3 linked regions of the Struthio camelus genome follow. The protein of the gene in region 3 purifies or fractionates together with the protein of the main gene of each other region. This does not show direct contact. Links are inferred from orthologs where the notes say so. Each region holds a gene or a part of one and is shown on either strand. Other genes may lie near its edges.

Region 1 (7,851 bases), on a different chromosome or scaffold from region 3:
GAAAGCTATGAGGACAAATACACAGAATTCATGAAGAAGTGTTTTTGGCTTGTTTTCTTGAGAGTTTTTTTGCCTTCCCAAGGAACAATTTACCTCCAGGGCAACTCTACCAACATTTCCAGCAGGGTTTTTGGGTTTTTTTTTTTTTTTAAACAGAAATGTGTGAGCTCGCTATTGTAGCCATAATTAAAACAGCATCTTAAAGCTAAAAGATGAATTAAGACTACAGGGAAGGAGGAGGGGAGGGAAGTCATTCATTAACAGTAGCAACCTTTAAGCAGATTCAGAGGTTATGCTCGCAAAGGATTTCATACCCAGGGCTACATAAAATGGCATGAGATTTTATACTCTGGATTCTTTGAGGATATAGTTGATTAAAAACTAAAATGTAATAATTTTAATACCAACGACTCCTGTTAAACAGAATAATGCATTAAAAATGAGAAACCTGCAAAGTAGTGAGCTTGCAAACAAAAGGGAGCAAGTGCAAAACCAGGAAAAGAAGGAGTTAAGCAACACTAAACTTTTTTTCAAAATTAACTGACAAAAAGGTCAGCATGGAGGAGCGTATAGTTACCCAGAAGTGTGCGTGACAGTTCACCATCATGGTCCTCTCAATAAGCTCATCGGGACACTCCAAAAGATGGTGCCCGGAGACCACACCGGCATTGTTAACCAGGACGGAAACCTCGCCAACCTCTTTGCGGACCCTCTCGGCTGTCGTGTAGACATTTTCTCTTTTGCCCACATCGCAGGTGTACGTGTAAACCTGCAAGTTGCAGTGGGGCAGCGCTTCTTTTTCTCCATCTGCAGCTGCTAAGGAACACAGACAGGAGAACAGAGCAAAGTAAAACGCTCGCTCGGCTTTCAGCCTGCGGGACAAGTCAAACCGAGGAGTGGAAGCAGCAGACGCGTTTCCATTACACGACAGCCTCTGTTTACTTTGGTGTCACCACAGTCCGCCAGGACTCGCCTATTTACCACCGCTGCCAGAGCGTTGCGGGGGGGGGGGGGGGGTTGTTTGGTTTTTTTTGTTTCGAGGGGGACACCCAGCTCGGCCGTCCAAGCCGCCTGGGGCCGCTGCCGGCGAGCAAGTGAAGGGGTGGTTGGGGGGGGGGACCGGCGGCGGAGCCCCCAGCGGGCCGCTTACCTCCGGCGGCGGTCGCCTCGGCCAGCTGGCGGTAGATGTGGCGCACCATGCCGGCCGTCTCCTCGTTGCTCTGCGTGTTGATGTCCCAGAGCACCAGCAACGCCCGGCGGCGGGCAAACTCCAAGGCGAAGAGGCGGCCCAGGCCGCTGCCCGCCCCGGTGATGAGGCACACCTGCCCCGCCACGCTCTTCTCCTTGGGTCGCACCAGCCACTTGGCGGCGGCCAGCACGAAAGCCCAGAGCACTTTGAAAGTCACCACGAAGAACTCGAGCAGGATGTTCATGCTGGCGGCTCCCCCCCGCGGCCCCACGGGCGGCGTCGGCGGGTGCCTGCTCGCCGCCCGGCGCTGCACCTGGGGCCGCTCCCGCCCTGCCGGCCCGGGACCTCCCGCCGCGGCGCGGCGCGGGCAGGGGGAAGCGGGGAGAGCCGAGCGGCGCCGGGCTGGGCTCCCCCCTGCTCGCCGCTCGCAGCCCCGGCACCGAAAGCAAACGGAGGCGAAGCCCGAGCGAGCGAGCGAGTGCGAGCAGCGCCGCCGCCGCCTCGCTCCCGGCCCCTGTCACACACGCGAGGCCGCGCTGCCGCCTCCGGCAGGGGACGGGTCCCGCACCGCGGCGCCGCCGCTGTCGCTGCCTCGCCCCCCGGCCCGCACCGAGCCCGCCGCCCCTCTACTCGCAGTGAGCATCTTGGCCGCCCGCCGCGCTATATAGGCCGGGCTGGGCGGCGGGGACCTCCCCCGGGCGGCCCGGCCCGCCCCGCATTCCCGGGACCGCCACCCCCATCGCCGCCGTCCCGCCCCGACCCGCCTCCCCCGCCCGCGGCGGGGGTCCCGCCGCCGCGCCAGGCCGCGCCTGACGGGAGCGACGCGGCGGGTGCCGGGCGCCCCGTCACCGGCCCCGCCTGCCCGGCCTGGGCCGGGCCGCGCCGCTGCCCCGCGCCGCTCCGGGGCGTCCCGGCGGCGGCGGCGGCGGCGGCGGCGGCGCTGGGCGGGGCTGTGAGAGACCCCGCCTCCCGCCCGCGGCGGGCGGACTACATGTCCCAGGGTGCACAGCGGCCGCGCTCCGGAGCGCCATCTTGAGGGCAGCGGCCGCCGCCGCCGGGTGTCCTTCAGCGGAGCGGCGCGCATCCGCGGGACGGGTGGCGGGGCACCTCTGCGCACCGCCTCCGGAGAGAGCACATGCCGCAGGGCTTGTGATGCCGGAGTTTTGGTTAGGAGGGCGTGAAGAAGCGGTAAAGGGTCGTGCTTGCGCTGACAAGTGCGCAGAAGTTGCAGAAGGCCTGGGCGCGGCGGGGCGAGGCGATGTCCGCGGGAGTCCCGCGGCGGCCAGGAGGCCTCTCCCACACCTCGCCCCTAGCTCTGCCGGGCCGCGGGTTTCTCTGCTGAGCTGTGACGAGCAGTTGAACCAAACGCTGTTCGTTGTTTTTTTTATTTTTTTCTTTTTTTTGTCAGTCAGCCAAGTGTGGAGGCTATTAATATATAACTAACCACAGATTAAAATGAAAATTTAGCACTGCCACTGCCTTGCCCGAGATAACAAATCTCACGTTCTGGTGATTGACATGCTATGGCTCCCCCCCTCTCACTCAGCACCAGGAGCAAGCTGCTCCCCCATCACCTATCCGCTCCGGAGGACACGGAGCAGCGTGTGCCCTTGCTGTTTCCCACATATGGGTAATGCTCATCCAACTGCCTGCTTCTCCAGAGATAACCATCTGTAGATGTATGCCAAAGAGCACTATGCTGTGTTTTCCTGCTCTGTGCAGCTGCCAGCTTTCACAGAAGCTGTACGAACTTTGTATTTGTGAACATGGTCTCTGAGATTTAGCAGAAATTTGAGTTCAAAAGTTTGGGGGTGACAGACGGAACAAAGGAAAATGAACAAACTAATATATAATTGCAGATATCTATTTTCTAAAAAAAATCTGCTATGCCCACTAGAGAAAGTGCAGACAACGTCCTAACGTAGGTGTTTTATTGTACATTTGCTTGCTGCTAGATGTTAATTATCCTGTTTATTATAGTTTTAATCGGGTCTAGTGATATAAGCTTCTGTATTAGCATAAAGAAAGGGTACTTTGCAACACTTAACATTGCTCAAATACAAAAGTGTATCAATAAGTGGCTACTTATTCAGTGCTACCTAGCATGTTTCATGTTGTAAATAAACAACAGAAATAAATAAAACCAAGAAAATACAGAAATCAGAATTCATTATCCTCAGCCCAGCTATTTGTTCTATTTCTTAAGCTGGATAATTCTTTGCTTCTCCTAATTCCACGGATTTCCCTTCTTCTCATGCATACATAATCACGTTTCAAGACTCGTTCCCGCAGAGGTGATTTTAAGAACTTAAGTATGTTTTCCTAAGATGAGGACCCAAGAGTAGCCCCAAGAAGGCCATTAAGTAGTCTTTAGCAACAATCCAAATAAATAAAAGATGTCCTGTGACGAGCAGTTTGGTTAGCAGCAGTGCTTCCTTAACTCTCTTTTCATCTGGATCTACACAACTTTGTATGATGAGCTGAAAAGCAACACAACTTAAAAAAAAACCTAATACAAAGGTTACTTAAATTTTGCAGTCCCTAGTTCACAATATGACCCAGTAAAGAACTGTATAGTCGTTAACTTAGGGGATGACACGGAGTTGGGAACAGGTAAGCGGTTTGGTAGTTGTTTAAGTCAGCACTGCTGCTGAAATCAATGCTTCTCACACATGACTTGTTCCAGCGGCAGAAACAGAAATAAACGCAGGAAACTTGGACTCTCGTGCTGGAAACGCTTAAAACACATTGGAGTCCCTGGGATTAACAGAAGTAGTACAGTTAAGATTGCACATAAACATTAGCAGGTTTAGACCTTGCTTCGGCCTTTCTCCCGCTCTTCTCAGCATTTAGGCTGCCAGATTTTAAATAAAGAAGTACAAGGCGTCCCCCCGCCCCATGTCCCGTTTGCCATTTCGCACCCTCCTTCGGCAGATCCCGCAGCGATCGGTGTCTCCCTCGAGAGGGTGGCACCTCCTGCCGCCGTCCGCGTCCCCCCCTCGCCCCCTTCGGGCCCTGGGGACGCCGGTGCCACCCAGCCAGCCCTTACGAGCTGCCGGGGCAGGCCGTGAGCCCCGCGGCAGGCGAAGGAGCCAGCACAAGTAGCATTTCCCATATCTCGGCCTCAATCCCCCCCGTCTGTATTAAAAGCATACGGTGGAAGGTAATATCCCATATGCTTTTAATACAGGATACAGGATTTAAGGCTGAAATACGGGAAATCCTGTATTATGCGAAATGCCTCGCAACCCTACCACAGCCCCGACATAAAAGCACAACCAGGCTAGCTGCACACTCCATCCTGCATACACTACAACAGGCAACGCCGCACGTCTAATTAATGCCAAACTACCAATTACGACGGGGAAAAATAATTAACAAGAAATAGTTTTAGCAACTCTGAGAGGGTTATTTCCTCCTCTCCGCAGGCGCGGCGGCGCTGGCGCGACCCCCTCGCCGGCAGCAGCGCACGGTCCGGGCCGCCCTCGGCGCGGCTCCCGCTCCCGCCCGCTCGCGGGGCGCCCCGAGGCGCGCAGAGAGGCGGCGGGGCGCACCGAGACCCCTCTGATTTTTACCGCGGCTCCGCGCCGGGGGGCGGAGGGCGGCTCCGAGCCCGCTCGCGGCTCCGGCACTCCGCGGCCACCCCCTGCGCGCGCGCGCGCCGCGGCCAGGCACCGCCGCGGACGCCCAAACGCGGGGTCCTGCCGGTGCCCGCCGGGCCCTACCCGCGCCGCGCGCTAGGTGGGCGCTGCGCATGCGCGAGCTCTCTCTCTTCCGGCGCTGACCATGGCGGACAAGGAGTGAGTAGCGATTCCGCCCTGCCACAATCCGCCGCCATCGGCGGCCGCTGCCCCCGGCCCGCACCGCCCGGCGGCCTCCGGGCACGCTGCCGGCCGCCCCCGGCCGCCGGACCTCCGCCAGCGCCCGCGGGGGGCCGGAGGGGGCGATATGGGCGGGCGGCCTGGGGCCGGGAGCGGCGGTGACGCGGCCGCCGCCTGCCCCGTCGCGTCGGCCGAGGGCGGTTGCTGCCTCTCCTCGCCTCGCCGGGTAGGGAGGAGAGCTGGGCAGGCAGAGCCGGGCCCGAGCGCTGCTCCCTGGGCGAGGGACGCGGGGCGACTCCGTTCCTCCTGGCCTCGCAGGCGGGCGATGGGTAGCGTCCGCGCTCTGGTGCGCGCAGCGGTGCGTGGCCTGAGTGGAAAGCCGTGGCTGGGTGTGTACGTGGTGTGGAAGTTAGCGCGAGTTATTTCTCTCTGAATGCCGGTTTTGTAAATCCTGTAGTATACGCTGCTTACAGAATCCAGTCACATTAAATGCACGCATTCTGATAATCAGACTGTTATCAGCCTGATGCTCCCCTTAAACTACTGGTTGCAATGTTTGTTCATTGCTTTGAAAAATATTTGTTTGAAACAGACCTTTTCTGCTTATAAGCTAGAAAGTAACTAAATACTTTAGTCACTTGATAACTGCACAGTTGGTATTTTCTGGAGAAAATAAACCTTTGTAGGTGCCCAGAAATTGCACTGTGATGTACCCTGGTGTGCAGCTCAATGGCCAGTCGGTCAAATTTCCCAGTCTTTACGTAAAAGATGCTCTTTGGAGGTTGCATTAAGGTCTTGAATAACTGGCAATAGAGAGAGTACAAGGAAGATGCAATAATGAACTAGGGCAACACGGTGAAGCTTGCGTATGCCTTCTATTAAGGACTTACTTACAGTGGTGTTTGTAATGTGTTACTTCTACTTGGTCTGAAGAAAGTAGGTTTTAAAGAGTCTTTTTCTTGTAACTTAGAGCAAAGAAGGTGCCCTCCGTTCCGGAAAGCCTCCTGAAAAAGCGGCAGGCTTATGCAGCTATAAAAGCCAAACGTCTGAAGAGGCTGTTGGCTCAAAAGAAGGTGAATATTTCTTGTCTTTTTGTATGCATTGATTATCTGTTCTGTAGGCAGATCAGTGGAACACTACTACAGATATGAAGTAGTAGAGAAATGTTTTAGGTCTGGCAAGTTTGGGGTTTTGTTTGTTTTGGAGTTTTTCTTTAGCATTTTGGTGTAAAACATGGACCAAATAAAAAAGAAAATCCAAATAGCGCGTAACAAACTAGTTGTGGGCAGAGTGAATGCCATGTGTGCAGGTGTCTATAAAAATAAAGGTAGTTGGTTACAAGGCAGGAGGTTGCAGCCTTTGTGAGAGTAAGCATGGTGTATGAAAATACCCTGTTTGATGTAAGGTAGAATTACTGTGCAGTAGAGACCTGTTTCTCTAGAATATTACTGAAAGTCATTCTGAGTCCCATCATACGGGCAGATGTTCCCTTACTGTGTGTTATTTGTGGGGCGGATGCTACGCTATTTGAAGCTAACTTTCTTGTGTTAAAAGGCATTATGTAATCTTAAGTAACTTTCCACTAATTTCAGCTTCGTAAGGCACAAAGGAAACTCATCTATGCAAGAGCCAAAGCTTACCACAAGGAATACAGGCACATGTATAGACAGGAGATCCGTATGGCCAGGATGGCCCGAAAAGCTGGAAATTACTACGTACCAGCTGAACCAAAGCTGGCCTTTGTGATCAGGATAAGAGGGTAAGACTTCATATGGATGGAAACACTTGCTTTTATTTGTCTGCTTTAAGGGCTTACATCAGCAAGTTTGCTGATGATACTAAACTGGGAGGAGTGGCTGGCACACCAGAAGGCTGTGCTGCCATTCAGAGGGACCTGGACAGGCTGGAGAGGTGGGCGGAGAGGAACCTCCTGAAGTTCAACAAAGGCAAGGGCAGGGTCCTGCACCTGGGGAGGAATAACCGCAGGCACCAGTAAAGGCTGAGGAAAGCAGCTCCGCAGAGAAGGCCCTGGGAGTCACCCTCAGCAACTCTATGCCTTCATCCAGGCCATTGATGAATGTGTTAATGCTGGGCCCAGTACTGTCAGATATGTGCCAGAGAATGATTTAATTATTAAACGTAAAAATTACTATGTTGGGCATGTCTTCCTTAGGAATAACTGGTTAAAAACAAACAAACAAACAAAACTGCAAATATGTGAGGCAATTGTTGTGTTTCACCTTAAGCTTGATAAAATTATGTACCAACACACAGTAACATTACTAAGTTTGCCTCGAGTGCTTGGTTAAGGGTGTTCTAGGAAAGTCTTCAAGGAAACTAAGGGAAGACGTGGTTGCAAGGATAGTTAGTTCTAAATAATTTGTTTCAGTGGATTCCTTATTTAAATTCTTTTCTTTAAGTTAGATCTGGCGTAAGCTTACTACTGAAATACGTAGTGATAGTACATAATAACTTACTAAACTGTTTTCCTGTAATTCATAGGATGGCGATGCATTTAAGATGAGAACGGTATTGCTTTTTTAATCTGTTAGTGCTTTGATGATACTTTAGTGTATTCTGGGATGTAGACAATTAAAAGAGGCTCTCTGTGCTTTCTAGTACCAATGGTGTTAGCCCCAAGGTCCGTAAGGTATTGCAGCTTCTTCGCCTGCGTCAGATTTTTAACGGCACGTTTGTAAAACTCAACAAAGCTTCTATCAACATGTTGCGGATTGTTGAACCCTACATTGCCTGGGGGTGAGTGAAATAGTTTTATCAAATCAGGGTGCAGGTGTTCACTGCATCTTGCACTTTGCTACACTAGATTTGCATGTCTTCCTT
Region 2 (6,847 bases), on a different chromosome or scaffold from region 3:
TGAATTAAGGCATTGCTGAAATTGCGAATACTAATACAACTGTCAGATTTAAAGTGATTAAATTCAGTGGTATTAAAGCAATAAAATTCTACCAACATGGTAGTCCTGAGGCAAAGGGATATCTTAATAACCTAAAAATTGAATTTGGACTCTCTTCACTGTCCTGAATCATAAATAAAAGTCCTATCATGGTTAATTCGGCCTGTCAGGTTTCCAAGGCAGACATTGTTCTCTGTGGGCAGCAGAGATTCCACTGCAATTTTTGTAAGTGAGTATTGCGTCCCGCTACCCATTTCTGGCCAAAATTTTTTTCTCCTCATTGGTGTATTGGGTTACGCAATTGTCAGCTCCCCCTAGAGTAACGGGCCACAAACTACCTTTGAGCAACTAGTTAGATAATTATTCAAGCAAAATTCCTTTCAGTTTTGACTTAACATTTGCCTAATAATGTTTAAAGTGCTTTGAGATCATTCTTGGCCAAGTGCGTGTGAAAATAAATATACAAATACTGTCTGTGTGGAATTTGTACCATCTGTGCATTAAAACAATGCACCAATTAGCACAGTTACTCTTCTAAAGATGTTATTGGGACCATAAAATATTAGAATACCATGTTCCAATGTTTTCTATAGCCTCTAAAGATTCTTACAGTCCCTCCTTGTGGCTAACACATACCATTGGGATGAAAAGGAAAATATTATCTACCAGGCCCCTGAGGAATGGTCCCATAAACACACAAGCATAGGCCTATACACATGAAAAATAATTTTCCAGTATAACTAAGACATAAGTTTGCACTGATAGAATTGCACTGGAACAAATGCACAGGCACTTTCTTATTCCCATTTTCATGGCTTTTTTGGTTTAGCGCATATTTAGTAAAAAAGTATTTAAGCTAAACCAAACCAAGCTACTCTTGAATCAGAATATCCACGAGAGCTGTTTGTGAGAACGTCTTGCTGCACTGCTGTAAATAGTACCTCTTTCTCATGAGAAGTTCGAGCGTGAACTCTGCACCCCAGATAAAGCTTGAATGAAAGTGAGAAAGTTCTTGAACCACTCTTCTTCCTGCCTTTTCCCTAGCTAATTCTGGAGATGTCCTTTAGTATCTGCACTCCCTATCCACCTGCCTATGTCTAACACCTAGAATAAAATGGCCCCATGGCCATGGCTGTAGACACTGTCATAAAAATATTATTAAGAACTTATGAATTAAGTAATTTATAAAGAAAGCTCATCCTCTTACTCATGCACCAAAACCTCTTCTCACCTAAAGTAAACTGTGCTTTCATCCCAAGCTAGCTCACACTAGAGACCGATTCCCACTTTTTCTTGGACTAGTAATGCAACTATTTTCCAATAAAGACATAGACAAAATCACTCGAGTATTGATATTCCTTCAACAGCAATTCTAGAGTGTCACCGCATCCACAAAAGACCTGCAGGACGTGTCTGCTCCCAGAAGTGTTACTGACAAATACTACAAATTGCAGCGTGAATGTTTCATACAGCTTTAAAGTGCAGCTGCTAACACTCCGGTTCATTCAGCAATGAGGATATAAGTACAGTAACCCTGACAGAGATTTCACAAGCAAGAATGACACAGCCAACGGAGTCTAAAATAGTAATTGAATTATACTTACAGTTAGCAAAATGCCTACAGTGAAGTTTATAGCTAACAAAATATATAAAGTGAAATGTAATGTTTACATCTTGCCTGCATCTCAGTCATTCCTGTGCAAATACCTTTTCTTAGTTATTCAGGAGGAGTACCCCCTCCCCCCCCTTTTGGGAATCACTTCTGAGACCTGTAGTGTATTTCAGGATAAGAGTTTGACACAGAAATTTTCATTTGCTGTTCTGTATTGTTTGATGATATGCTATTTGCTTTGATTTTCTTCCAAATTCTTGCCAGAATAGGGATTTCAAGACTAGGATGGCACAAATATTTTGTCACATAAATTTTGAAGCTGTCAGTATCCACCTATGCTTTTTCTTTTTCTTGAGCAAAACATAGCATGTTATAAACTCAGTAGTTAAACTCATTCTCTTCTTTGGGGCAGGATCAGACTTATGACTTATACAGTGGTTACTTCCTTGATGCACTAAAATAACTCTGCCATAACAATGCCTAGCTTTTTAACTTGGACCCTGTTGCAAATATCTCGAAGTCTGGAAAAAATGTGCTGAATGTTACCTCAGAAAGGAAAAAGTAAATGGGTATATATGCTTTTTTCTTTTTCTATATAGTCTGCTCTTTTATTTTCTTCCCCTCCTTTGTGGTCCTCCATTGGCATTCCATTTCTTCTTCCAGGGGAATATCAAGCCTGTCACTCTTCGGTTCTCCTGCAGGACATGGAAGAAGTGTACACACCAACTTTTAGCCTTTTTATTAAAAGGGACAGCAATGTCAAATTTCATTTCATAGCTTTATTTCATTTGCATAGTTTTCAGTTGGTTGAGCTCCACAGGTGTTGTGAAAAAGCAAATACCCCAAAAGAATAAGCAGTTGCTTCAATTGTTTCTTTTCCATTATTTTGTAAGACTGTAACTCCGCTAGTCTTCCTGCTATCCACAGAGCTTCTAGTGTAAAGACCTAACTTTCTCAAGTAAAAAATGTTTAGAGACAGCAAGTTCCCTTCTGGGAACAAAGGACAAACAATGATAAGCAAGTATTCAATTAGCAACGCTCTTCACAGGTCATAAACCAAAAACCCAAACTACTTCTTCCTTTTTTTTCCCCTACAGCTCACCAGTGTGCAGCTATAACTCAGTGCAGATTGCTGGAGCAAAACGTTTGAGTTGGATGGGGCTATGATGCAGACAGTGGAAACACGATATAAAATTTGCTTTCAGGTTTTATTATTCTCATAACGTTGTATTTCAGAGCAGAAAGGTCTGAATGACAGTCCGTTGTCCAGTTCAGTGGGTCTAGAGGAAAGCAGACCAGCTGTTTTACTTCTGCATCTTCAGTCTTTACTGAAGTCAAAACGACGCTACTCCAAAGATACATTTATTCTTGTCATGTGCCTTCTGGAAAAGCCTTAGATTATAGAAACGCTGCCTAAAACTCATTTTCTCCCTGGGCTCATCTGTCCAGAACAGGCTGTTTAAGGTGTCGATCACTTGGAGCAGGATGGTAGCTCTTACACCACTGGGGCACCAACATCTGGGTTTCATTCCAGAAACACTCTACACCTTCCACGGTTCCAGCTGCTAAAGCATTTTTTCTCGCTGGAAACGGGTTTAATGCTGTCCACCTGTGAAACTCCCACTCGTGTGACCTTCTCACCGAAACGCGCACACCGCATCCTTCACACGGAGGGGCACTGGCATCCAAATCAATCACAGACAGCAGGGAGAGTACATCCCTGTCACCTCGGCTGCCGCTTTTAAGACCTGTGGCTGACCGAGCAGAACCAGTCTCTTTCAAAGCAAAAAAGGCAGAACGCACCCGGGCCGACGTCGCCCGGCCGCCGGCCGCTCTAGGTGCGCAGCCCCCCGCCCCGGGCTTTCCGGGCGTACAACACCACAACAGAAAAGGCCGGGGGGTGGGGGGGAGGACAGGTCCCGGCAGATGCGCGGCCGCCGCGCTGCTCTGTGCTTTAGGCAGGCTGCGGGGCCGGCGGGGGGGGGGGCGGCTGCCTCCCCTTGCTCACCAGCCGGCCGCGCAACGGCCGCGCAACGGGCCGAGCGCTCACCGCTCCCAACATGGCGCCCGGCGTCGCCGCCCGGCAGCCGCTAGGGCCACGCGCCGGGGCGGGGCGGGGCGGGGCCAGGGCGCCCCCTGCGGGGCATCGCCCCGCCCCGCCCCGCCCCGCCCCGCCCCGCCCCGCGGCGCTGCGTCACTTCCGCGGAAGCCGGCGTGAGGAGAAGATGGCGGCGCTGGGCGAGCCGGTGCGGCTGGAGCGAGGTGAGTCTGTTCCCGGCTCTGCTGCCGCGGCCGGTCCGGTCCGGTCCGGTCCGGTCCGGTCCGGTCCGGTCCGGTCCGGTCCGCCGCTACTTGGGCCTGGGCCTGGGCCTGGGCCTGGGCCTGGGCCTGGGCCTGGCGCTGCCGAGCTGGGGCAGTCTCTCTCGGTCTCGGGCCCCAGGGACGCGCCCGGCCGGCCCGAGGCCGCGGGATGGCGGTGGCGGCCCGGCCCGGCCCGGCGCTGTGCGGGGCGGGTCTGCGCCGCCCTGGAGGCGGCGAGGGGGCAGCCGGGCAGCAGATGGCCCTTGAAAGTGTTTTCTCTCGGTGCCGGTTCCGTGCCTGCGTGGGTTGGTCTCGCTTCTCTGGCGTTTTCTTTCGGCAGGCGCCGAGGGTTTTTCTCTTGCTGGGCTTCGGCTTGTGAGCGGGTGGCGGCGGGCGCTCCGCCGGCCCTCGCCCCGACCGGCTGTAGGTGCGTGTGTGCAGCGCCCTCGCTGGGGTCAAAACTTCCGCCAGCAATTTACGCGACCAGCTGACTCCTTGTTTCTGCCTTTTCCACTGGATTGTTTACTCTTGATCAAAGCTAAATTCTTGAGTTTAATTTACTGCACTGTGTCTTAGCAGCAGGCCTTGTTTTTTTTTTTTTTTTGTACAGGAAACTTTGCATGAACAAACAAAACATTTGGTCATGAATTTTGCTTAACTCTTTACACTTTCATGTTTCTGTCTTTGGCCTGACCTTGTCGTTTTCAGTGCTAAGTTGTACTGCTGATATTGTGTAGTATGTAAGTAGAAGCAGATAAAATCCAAAACTGAATTGTCTGTTTCTTCTGTAGTACACGTCTGTGTCTCTTATCCAGCATTCTATGAAGCAATAATAAATTCCCTTCAGTATGGCTCTTCAGAATTGTGCCAAGCCCACAGGAGCTCTGTGAGGGCATCCATGTATAAGCAGTATATATGACTGGTATATTAGGATGTATGTAAAAATAGTGAATGGAATATGGAATTTTAAAAGAATAACGAGAATCAAGAATTCTATTCTTGAAAAGCAAAGCAATTATATGAAGTGTAGGTGACTTAGTTGAATTGATTATTTTCCCATTGCCGTTCCCTTTGGGCCCACCATCTTTGCTCAGCATTCTAGATGCTTCTGTATGGATGTGTAACTACATATTTTATATGCCCACTTCTTTGTGGTTGATACTGTTAAGTGTTACTCACCACAGAATTCAGTTCTTCTGTTTGTCTCCTCTCCTTACTGTTCCACAAGTAAATCACTTGTAATGTGTGAGGGAAGGTCTGTAAATAGTACAGTACTTATGTAAGAACTTTACTTCCCACTCCACAGCTTATCTACCCTCCCTCCTCCAAAGCTTGTTAATTAGAGCAGCTGCTTTGGCGGTGGATTAGTTGCTCTTGGTAGGTCTGCTGAGTTAAACCTCAGGCAGCATCCCTGTCCACCTCATTACCCTGCCACTATGCTCTACGCATGAAAAACAAATCTGTGCAGTTACTTAGGGATCAATGGAACAAAGGAGCTATTTAAAGTCTTCTGGCACGTTAGTCTTTTGGAGAAAAGAAGAAAAAGGGACTACAGTATAATGTCTGTATAATGAAGCTACAGAAGTAAGCGCTTTCTTTACAGAAATAAACAACCTCTGTTAATTCTATGGGGTTGACTGCAAATAACCTTATGAATCGTTGTCAGCATGAAAATGAGCATTACTAATGTTGCTGGCGTATAGCATAAGAAAAGAGAGGCTACCGTAGAAAATGTGCTGATTTAAAGTGGTTACCATATGCTTACTATCAGGGCAAATGAAGATTCTCCCCTTCTGTTCTTTCCTCTAAGCTGTATCACAGCCACCACCACCCAGGTTCACGGGAGTGAAGCGATGAAACAACATTTAACGTTTTGAAGTTGTTCTTTTAGCTTAGTGATATATATGATAAATCGACATACACCTTAGGAATGCAGACTATTTGAACAGAAGCAGCAGAAGTGGTTATTTAGCAATGTCTAACAATGCAATGTCTGATGTTGCGTTTTTCCTCCTTTCTATGTTTTGTTCATACGTATGCATGTGCAGAGTGGAGGCATTTTGCCGGTTTTCCACGTTCTTGGTTTAAGTGTGTTTTCCTGTCAGCACTTCAATCTGGTATCTTGTGGTCACTAAACTTGTGAAGAACAGGCAACTAATTTAAAAAAGAGGAAAAGGTTCAAAGAAAATCCATTTTTAAATGATGTGTGAGTTGAGCTTTACAATGAGTTTTATGTTTTTTATCACCTACCTCTGGAGTTATTTTTGCATCATTTCTGGCTTTGAAGGATTTTAACAAGAAATCTGTAGTGTTCATTTCAGTCTCTGGTTCTGAACAGTTGGCCAAGCTATAGTGTTAATATAATGAGGAAGAAAGCTATCAGCTGATCATATCCCAAGCAGTAGTTCAGGAGGAAGCAGGCGAGATCAACAGAGCTGTTGGCATCCCTTTCTTTTGTTCTCTGTGCACAGCTGTAAGAAGAAGATACTTTACCGCCTTTTCCCAGCTGGCTAGTTCCTTTCCAAAGCAGTAGAGCATTGAGACAGAGTGAGTCTTCAGCTTTTGATTAGCATTGCATTGCTGCATTAGTTTGGTGTGAGAAAGTTATGCTCGTTTCACTTTCAAACTAGTATAACTAGGTCCTGTTAAGGTGGTAAAACAAAGTAACTGTTGGGGGGAGAAAGTGCTGCTAATGGGATCCGTTGTCTATACCTACCTGATCAAGAGAAGCACTGTGTTAAAAGCCAATTTGTAGAGTGCCGAGTACCCAACTTTCCTATTCTGTGTGTCTGCTTTGGTTTTTTACTTCTCAGCAATGTTCTGGTCCTTTGATCTGAATGCTCATTAATGGTGCAAGTGCATCTTCTGGTTTAGTTGCATCCAATTCGTGCACAC
Region 3 (6,966 bases):
CCCTTTTTATTTGGTTTAGGCTGTGGCTAAGAAGACCTTGTTTAGGAAACAATATTAAAAAAAAAAAAAGCCTATTAAAATCAGATAATATAGAAAGATGAAGCTGGCTGTCATCATCAGTATACCGAAAATTGTGTCTCATGCCTCTTTTCTAACAAATCTGTTTCCACAGATACCTATCTCAATAGTGTGGGCGTGTCAAAATCAGTGGTGGAAACTGATCTCATCTTTGAAAGTGCTATTGTATGTTTAAAAAACAGCTTCAGGGCAGTTTTATTGTTTCAGTAGTAAGATCTCTTAATCTAAATATTTCAAGGTATAAGGGTTCATTTATCTGTTTCTGCAGATCTGTTAGTATCAAAACTCTGTAGACCAGGGCATCTCAAGAGAAATTTTAAGTTATGTGACCACAAACTGTTGAACTCCAAGCTTCATAGCTTACATATAATGAATCTTCATTAAATCTGAGGTATTTGGATATTAATTGGTATTTTAGAACTTTCTTTACCTGAACCTTAACTGTAACAGTGTTAGAAATCTCTGTAATAAATAGTTTATGCACAAAGTCTTTTTAAAAACTTATTGATAAAATAATGCGTTTTTAAAGATGTTCAATGTATCTTTCTTCATTACGCTATGCATTTGTACTCTTGAAATCTTCGGCTGAATATCTATGTTCTTGTAGAAACAAATTAAATTGATCCCACTCTGGCATCAGTAAATCAAGGAAGTGTTACACCAACTCCACATGTTTGAACCAAAGTTCAAGCTGGTTAGATTCATGTTTTATTACTCTATTACCTATTACTCTAAAGACAAGAGTAACCCTATGTAAGTTCCGATGGTTTTATGCTGAAGTGTTTTAGTTTTTCTTTTTAAACGACCTTTTTACTGACTAAAATTAAAGAACCTTCCCCCTTACCTTAAATGATATAATATTTATTTTCCTGCTGTCAAGCTTGGTATATTGTTGAGTTTTTTGAAATGCCATGCCACCACAACTTAGCTTGCTTTTTTTCGTGTTTTGTTCGGCAAACTTTCGGTGTGCTGTCACTGCTTTTAAACGGTCAAAAACTCAACTTACGTTGGTTGATTCAGTAAGGACTGCAGACATGGGATTTCTAATAGCAATGGGAAATCAGTTTAATTAACACTCACATTTTGATGTTGGTCTTCTCTTCCTTTTTGGTGGGCTTAGGTTATTTTTGTATGAAACTCCAAAGACATTGTGATGCTGAGTACTGTAAAACGCAACTTAAAGCTTGCTCTCTTTAGTGAAACTGAGAATCCAGTGTTTCATGCACCTGAATCCCTATACAATGCCTGAATGTAGCTAGATGTCTTAAAAATGGAGCCACAAAGCTTGTATGCTGTGTTGCTTAAAACAGAATACTATTTTTAACTTTCTCTATTTCACTGTTATCAGAAAATAATGAGAATAAATGTATCAAATCTCTGCCTCTCTTAAACAATGCTTTTAGGGAGTTGCTTATCTTAATTTAAGATTTATGGTCTTGAATAATTCCTCAAAGGAAGAACATGTAGTATGGAATTCATTATCTTCTAAATAACAGGAGAGAAATTTGGGTGCTGATAACAGCCACTGGATAAAATTCACAAATTGTCCCTGGACCAGAAAATGGAAACGAGGTCTTTTCCCTCCAAGTTGACTGCCTTAGCCACTAAGATAGGGTGTTAAGAGTTTTCATGATTCCTTGGTCCAGAGAAAGACGGATTCTGCAGAGTAGAAGAGCTTCAACAGAAGAATGAGAGAGATGTGCTTCTAAGCTGGAATACTGTGTAGTCTGGGAATTTAAAGTTTTCCTAGAGGAAAAAAGGACACTATATGCAATATGGGAATTTACTCTAGTAAAAAAGGGAACAGAATTTACATATCTTCTAATACTGTGTAAAGTTGTAGGGAGCAGAAGGAAGCAGTTACCTGTTTTAAAAGAAAGGAGGTGTCTGCTACATGCTTGTTCATCTGTTAGATGTTCAATTACAAGACTGAATGCATCAAAAAAGAAGACATCTAATTTCTGAATCCAAGTAGGATTTGAGGCGGGTGACCAGCTTTACTGCTCTGTCAAGACTAAAGCTTTTATTGATATGTGCAGAAGTAGGATGTTAATTTGAAGAACCTAGTTTTCATAGTGTTGGTTGTCAGCTGAGTGTAGTTTTTGGAATGAGAAATTTGGAGTTCAGCATCTAAATTCTGTTAAAGCACTTTGTGAGAATTAGCAGACTTTTAAATAACATTTTGAAGATGTTAATAAGAGCTAGAAAGAGAGTTTTTCTTAGACACAAATATTGGAGACTGAACAGATGCATTAACAAATGTTAAGTGAAAAAGAATTATTGATAGAACAACTTTTGTTATTAATATATAGTTCCTAAATATTTTTCTATTTCAAAGGACACATGATTGGGTCTATGTATATTTAATCGTCTATATTTTAGGCTCTAATTATATATTCATGTGCTTACATGCTTAATTTTACATTTGCAATGGATTTTACATTTCCATTCAGGGTATTGGCACTGTTCAGACGGCTAGAGCTACTTACGTCCGTGTTGTAATGTCAGGACCTTCAGGGGAGATGTGATAAAACTACTTAAATAAACTCCGGTGTGTTTGTTGTGTTATGCCATCAAATAAATTGTTACAACTGAAACAGAATGATACATTTTATTCAAATTGTATGAATATGCTCATTGGTATCCATGTTGTCATTAACAGTTTCTTTTTCCTCTTCCTCTCAGGATGAGAATGGCCTATGTTATCCTTCAAACAAAAGCCATGAACAGACATTTGCCTATTTGATTGTGGACCCTTTCAAACGACACGTCCATACGTTGTATCATTGTTTTGGTGGAAGCTTCTTTGGAACCTAGTTTATTAACCTGGTTGTTCCCAAATTTTATAATAGAGGTGTTGCTCTTTCTGCATGAATTCAAGTAGAAGTCGCACGGTTTTCTTAGGAGGAAGCATGTACTCCTTCATTACACAACCTCTGAGTGGTTACATGTTTTATATCGCTGTTACTGTGCGGTTAGCGAAAAAAAGTTTTGTATAATTTTTGACTAGTTTATTTTTAGAGGAATACTTTCTGAAGCTGTTTGCCCGATAGTTGTGCCCCCTCTTCCCTCACCCGCGTTATCTAATAAACGGCATTTCTCAACATGTCTCGTCCCTGTTTATAAACCCTTTCAAGATCCGCGACGCATAAAGTCAAGGAAGGGGAGGCTCCGGAGTCAGCGAAATCTCGGCGGCAGTGGGAGAAAGTGCGTCAGCCGCCGCCGCCGCCGCGCTGCCCCCGGCTCCCCGCGCCCGCTCGGCCCCCGCGCCCGCCCGGCGGCGCCGCCAGGTGAGCGGGCGGCGGCGGCAGCCGCAGCCCCCGGCCGCCCCCTCGCCCCGCGCGGGGCCGCCCGTGCCCGCCCCGAGCGCCGGGGGCGCGGCCCCCACCCCCGGGGCGGCGGCTCCCGTCCCCCGCGGAGGCGCCGGGGTCGCTCCCGCTGCCGCTCCCCGGGCCGGGGCCGGGCGGGGGAGGGGAGGGGAGCCGCGCCGCGCCGCGCCGCGCCGCGCCGGCCGCTCTCCCCCCGCCCCTGGCGGAGCGGGCGCCCCTGGAAGTTGGGATGAAACTTGCGGGAGGGGGAAAAGTTCTGGTTGACTGAACTTCTTCGCGGCAACGCAGTGCGGGCGGGCGCCAGTGGGAGAAGCGCCCCCCGGGGGCCCCGGAGGGCGCGGGGAGCGTCTTAGGGGAGTGGGGGTGAGCCCACGCGCGTCTCGGCGCGCACCGGCGGCCGGCTGCGCGCGCGGGGGGGGCGGGCAGCACCCACGGCGCGGGGCGCCGGCGGCGGTGCGGGCGGGCGCGCGCAGGAGAGCCGCTCGGCACAGGCTGCCTCCGTCCGAGACGGTGCGGTGCGGGCGGGCTCAGGAGGGGCGGAGCTGGCTGTGGAGAGTGGTTCGGGCGGGCGTAACTCAGAACTTTTGTTTGGCGTGTTGTGTGAGTTAGTTTCCGCCGCCGGGACAGAGGCGCCGGCCGGGCTGGGCCGGGCTCGGGGAAGTGCCGCACGGCCAAAGTTGTTTTGCCAGTTGCTGCTGCCGGGTTGATTTCCCCGCTGAGGGGTAAGGAACACCAGCGAGAGCAGGACGAGCCGCAGCCCGGGGAGCGGGGCATGCGGGGCTGGGAATCGGGGCTCTGAGTCGCCGAGCCCCGCCAGGGAAGCGCCGGGGGGTCCCGCCGGAGCCATGGATCCCGGGCAGCCTCAGTCACAGCAGCCGCCGCAGGCAGCGCAGCCCGCGGCGCCGCAGCAGGCGCCGCCGCAGCCCCCCGGCGCGGTGTCGGGGGCCCCGGCCGGCGCGGCGCAGCCCCCGGGTGCGGGGCCCCCTCCGGCCGGGCACCAGATCGTCCATGTGCGGGGCGACTCGGAGACCGACTTGGAGGCGCTGTTCAACGCCGTGATGAACCCCAAGGGCGCCAACGTGCCGCACACGCTGCCCATGCGGCTCCGCAAGCTGCCCGACTCCTTCTTCAAGCCGCCCGAGCCCAAGGCCCACTCCCGCCAGGTGAGGGGGAGGGGGGCCGCCCGGGCCGGGCCGCGGAAGGGCGGGCGGGCGGGCGGCGGTGGCGGCGGCCGCCTCCCCCCCGCCGCGGAGCTCCTCCCGGGGGAGGCGTGCGGGGGAGGGGGGCCGGGGCCGGGCGGGAATCCGCCCCTGCCGCGCGGCCGGGCCGAGGGGAGGGGGGCGCCGAGGCCGGGACTCCCGTGGGGGAGGGGGGGTGGGTGTCGCTCCCTTTCTTCCTCCGGCTGCCTTGTGGGGGAGTCCTGCTCCCTCCTCTTCCTCCTCCCCCGCCTTATTTGTTCTTCACAGAGTGTTGCGGGGGGGGGGGGGGAAAGGGAAGGGAGGCGTCGCGCGGCTCCTCAGGGCGCTGAGGGGGAGCCGGCCCCGCGGCGGGGCGGCCGTTGGTGACCGTTGGCACCAGCCCGGCCCGGCCTGGTCCGTCCCGGTCGGCGGCGAGGCCTCCGGCTCCACATCCGCTGGGCGTCGAGCCCCGTGGCTGCTCTCCGGGTCTGACCGGAGCGGGTGGGGGGAGCGGGTGGGGGGAGCGGGGCCCCCGGCACCGCTGGTGGAAGCGCTTTGCTGGGAGGACCGGCCGCGCGGATTGCACTTTCTGGCCTAATCCGGCGGCGCTCATCCGTCCCCGTGGGGGAGGGGGCTGCGGAGGCCGTGCCCCCCCTCCCCTCCCCTCCCCTCCCCTCCCCAACATGGATGTAGATTTTCCACCATTTCATCACTGCGCCGGGCTGGGCAGGAGTCGTGCCCCCCCCCCCCTTCCCCCGTCAGAGTGAGTTCCGGAGCCCGGCGCTTTCTGTGCGTGTGGGTACCTTTAAGTCTGGCTGTGTCGAGGGTCCATTAAATTAACCGTCGGTGCGTTGGGCAGACATGATGTGAAAGCTTAAATCTCGGGGACCTGAACGGACACGAGAAACTGGTCTGCCGGTTTGCAGTGCAGGCTGAGTAGGAGATGCAGGATAGGGCCAGCGCCGAGGCACTGCTAGCGTTTGATCTTCTAGCAGAGTGACTTTTGTGCCAAGACCGAAGTGTTGGTGCAAGTATGACTGAAAGTTAATGTTTAGGCTGCTACTGCCAACTTTTTGGAAGGAGGTTGTTCCTACTGGAGTGTTTTTATTAAGTAATGAACTTTGTTGCTAAGCTATAAAATAGGTTTTATTATTGGCTATTGTCACTTTATCTATGTAGCCAGTAGGAGTGAAACTTGCTCTGTGTACTGGTGCCTGGTACTCTTGTTGTTAAGGGTCTGTCAACATTTCCATTATTAAACTTCTGTTTTGAAGGATTTATAACTTGGCTTCACAAGTTTACTCCAGGCTGAACCTTGGCACATACTCTCTTAGGCTAGGAGTTAATTCATTTTCCAAATACTCGAAAACCAATCTGGCCTTTATATTGTAAGACCGAAAACAAAATAGAAAGAGGTGGGACTGAGTTGCTTCTGTATTTTTGTTTGCTTCTGAGTTGCCAATCTTTGAATTGTTGAATAAAAATCATATCGTTTCATCAGCATTAATAACATGCTGAAATACACTGAGGAATAGTGCAGTTATTACATAGCTTTTACTCAAGTTATGCAAGTTTTATCACAGTTTGATTATGCACGGCGCTGGTGTAAGTTCATCTACTGCTTATTGCTGTGTCCTGTTAAATACAGTGAGTGCAGCTAAATGGCTCTTGTATTTGAAATGCATTTAACTTGTACGACGTTCATACACCATGTACTTTTAAGCTTAGGGTTATCTCGCCTGTATATATTGCTCTACATCCGTAATGCATACGGCTTAGTTGGATCACTGTTTCTTGTACCAGTTGGTGGTTGTTAAAATATAAACTTAAAAATCCAGCTGAAAGTAGAAAATCATTTATTTCATTGTTGACTCTCTTTTAAAAAGTCAGGCTGTCTTAATTTTCCTTTTTTGTTCGTTAGTGCCATAGCGATATTCTGCCTAACAGAAAGGGTCTTTAGGTTTCTGTAATTCTTTCTCTCTGTTTCTCAAGAATAAAAGCACCTCACGTTCAAGTGAATTGCAACTTGTGCATTTTATTAAAATCTAAGCTAATTCTTTGAAATACGTTTCCAATTTCATATATGAAACTTTGTACTCACATACAGGCTTAATGAAACAGAAATGTCAGTCTCCATGAGAATACATAAATGGGGCCTCGTGTATGGTGCAATACCTTGTGTAGAGAGGTGTGGCAATGGCTGATATATGCAACTTATTATAGGTGTCCATGTTGTTCTGGTGTATCTGCAAAAAAGAATTAATTTATGAATATATGTAAAAGTCAGCCTTATTTGAACTCAATTTTCAAAGCTGCTTTTCTGTTCTGTGGTGGACGCCTATCTGCTGACGAAGTAGTTCTACGTAGTTATGACTGGCAGC

The links. Proteins that work in one complex are often made in the same cells at the same time.
Region 1: the proteins of YAP1 (region 3) and RPL7 purify together in Homo sapiens (affinity purification with mass spectrometry, with the first as the bait; 3 studies listed by BioGRID). This does not show direct contact. The link is inferred for Struthio camelus from reciprocal best matches to the Homo sapiens genes YAP1 and RPL7.
Region 2: the proteins of YAP1 (region 3) and LIN7C purify together in Homo sapiens (affinity purification with mass spectrometry; 5 studies listed by BioGRID and IntAct, with this or other methods). This does not show direct contact. The link is inferred for Struthio camelus from reciprocal best matches to the Homo sapiens genes YAP1 and LIN7C.

Annotation. Positions count from the first base shown.
Region 1 is NC_090943.1:129,671,604-129,679,454, forward strand, and holds the start of RPL7 (large ribosomal subunit protein uL30), read left to right. Parts: upstream 1-4,843; 5' UTR 4,844-4,975; coding exon 4,976-4,989; intron 4,990-5,980; coding exon 5,981-6,083; intron 6,084-6,602; coding exon 6,603-6,769; intron 6,770-7,629; coding exon 7,630-7,767; intron 7,768-7,851. Other genes in the region: RDH10 (retinol dehydrogenase 10), read right to left, coding at 578-816, 1,151-1,433.
Region 2 is NC_090946.1:29,275,382-29,282,228, forward strand, and holds the start of LIN7C (protein lin-7 homolog C), read left to right. Parts: upstream 1-3,839; 5' UTR 3,840-3,876; coding exon 3,877-3,913; intron 3,914-6,847. UniProt on the Homo sapiens protein: Plays a role in establishing and maintaining the asymmetric distribution of channels and receptors at the plasma membrane of polarized cells.
Region 3 is NC_090942.1:208,824,732-208,831,697, reverse strand, and holds the start of YAP1 (transcriptional coactivator YAP1), read left to right. Parts: upstream 1-3,964; 5' UTR 3,965-4,252; coding exon 4,253-4,570; intron 4,571-6,966. Other genes in the region: CFAP300 (cilia- and flagella-associated protein 300), read left to right, coding at 2,764-2,895. UniProt on the Homo sapiens protein: Transcriptional regulator with dual roles as a coactivator and corepressor. Critical downstream regulatory target in the Hippo signaling pathway, crucial for organ size control and tumor suppression by restricting proliferation and promoting apoptosis.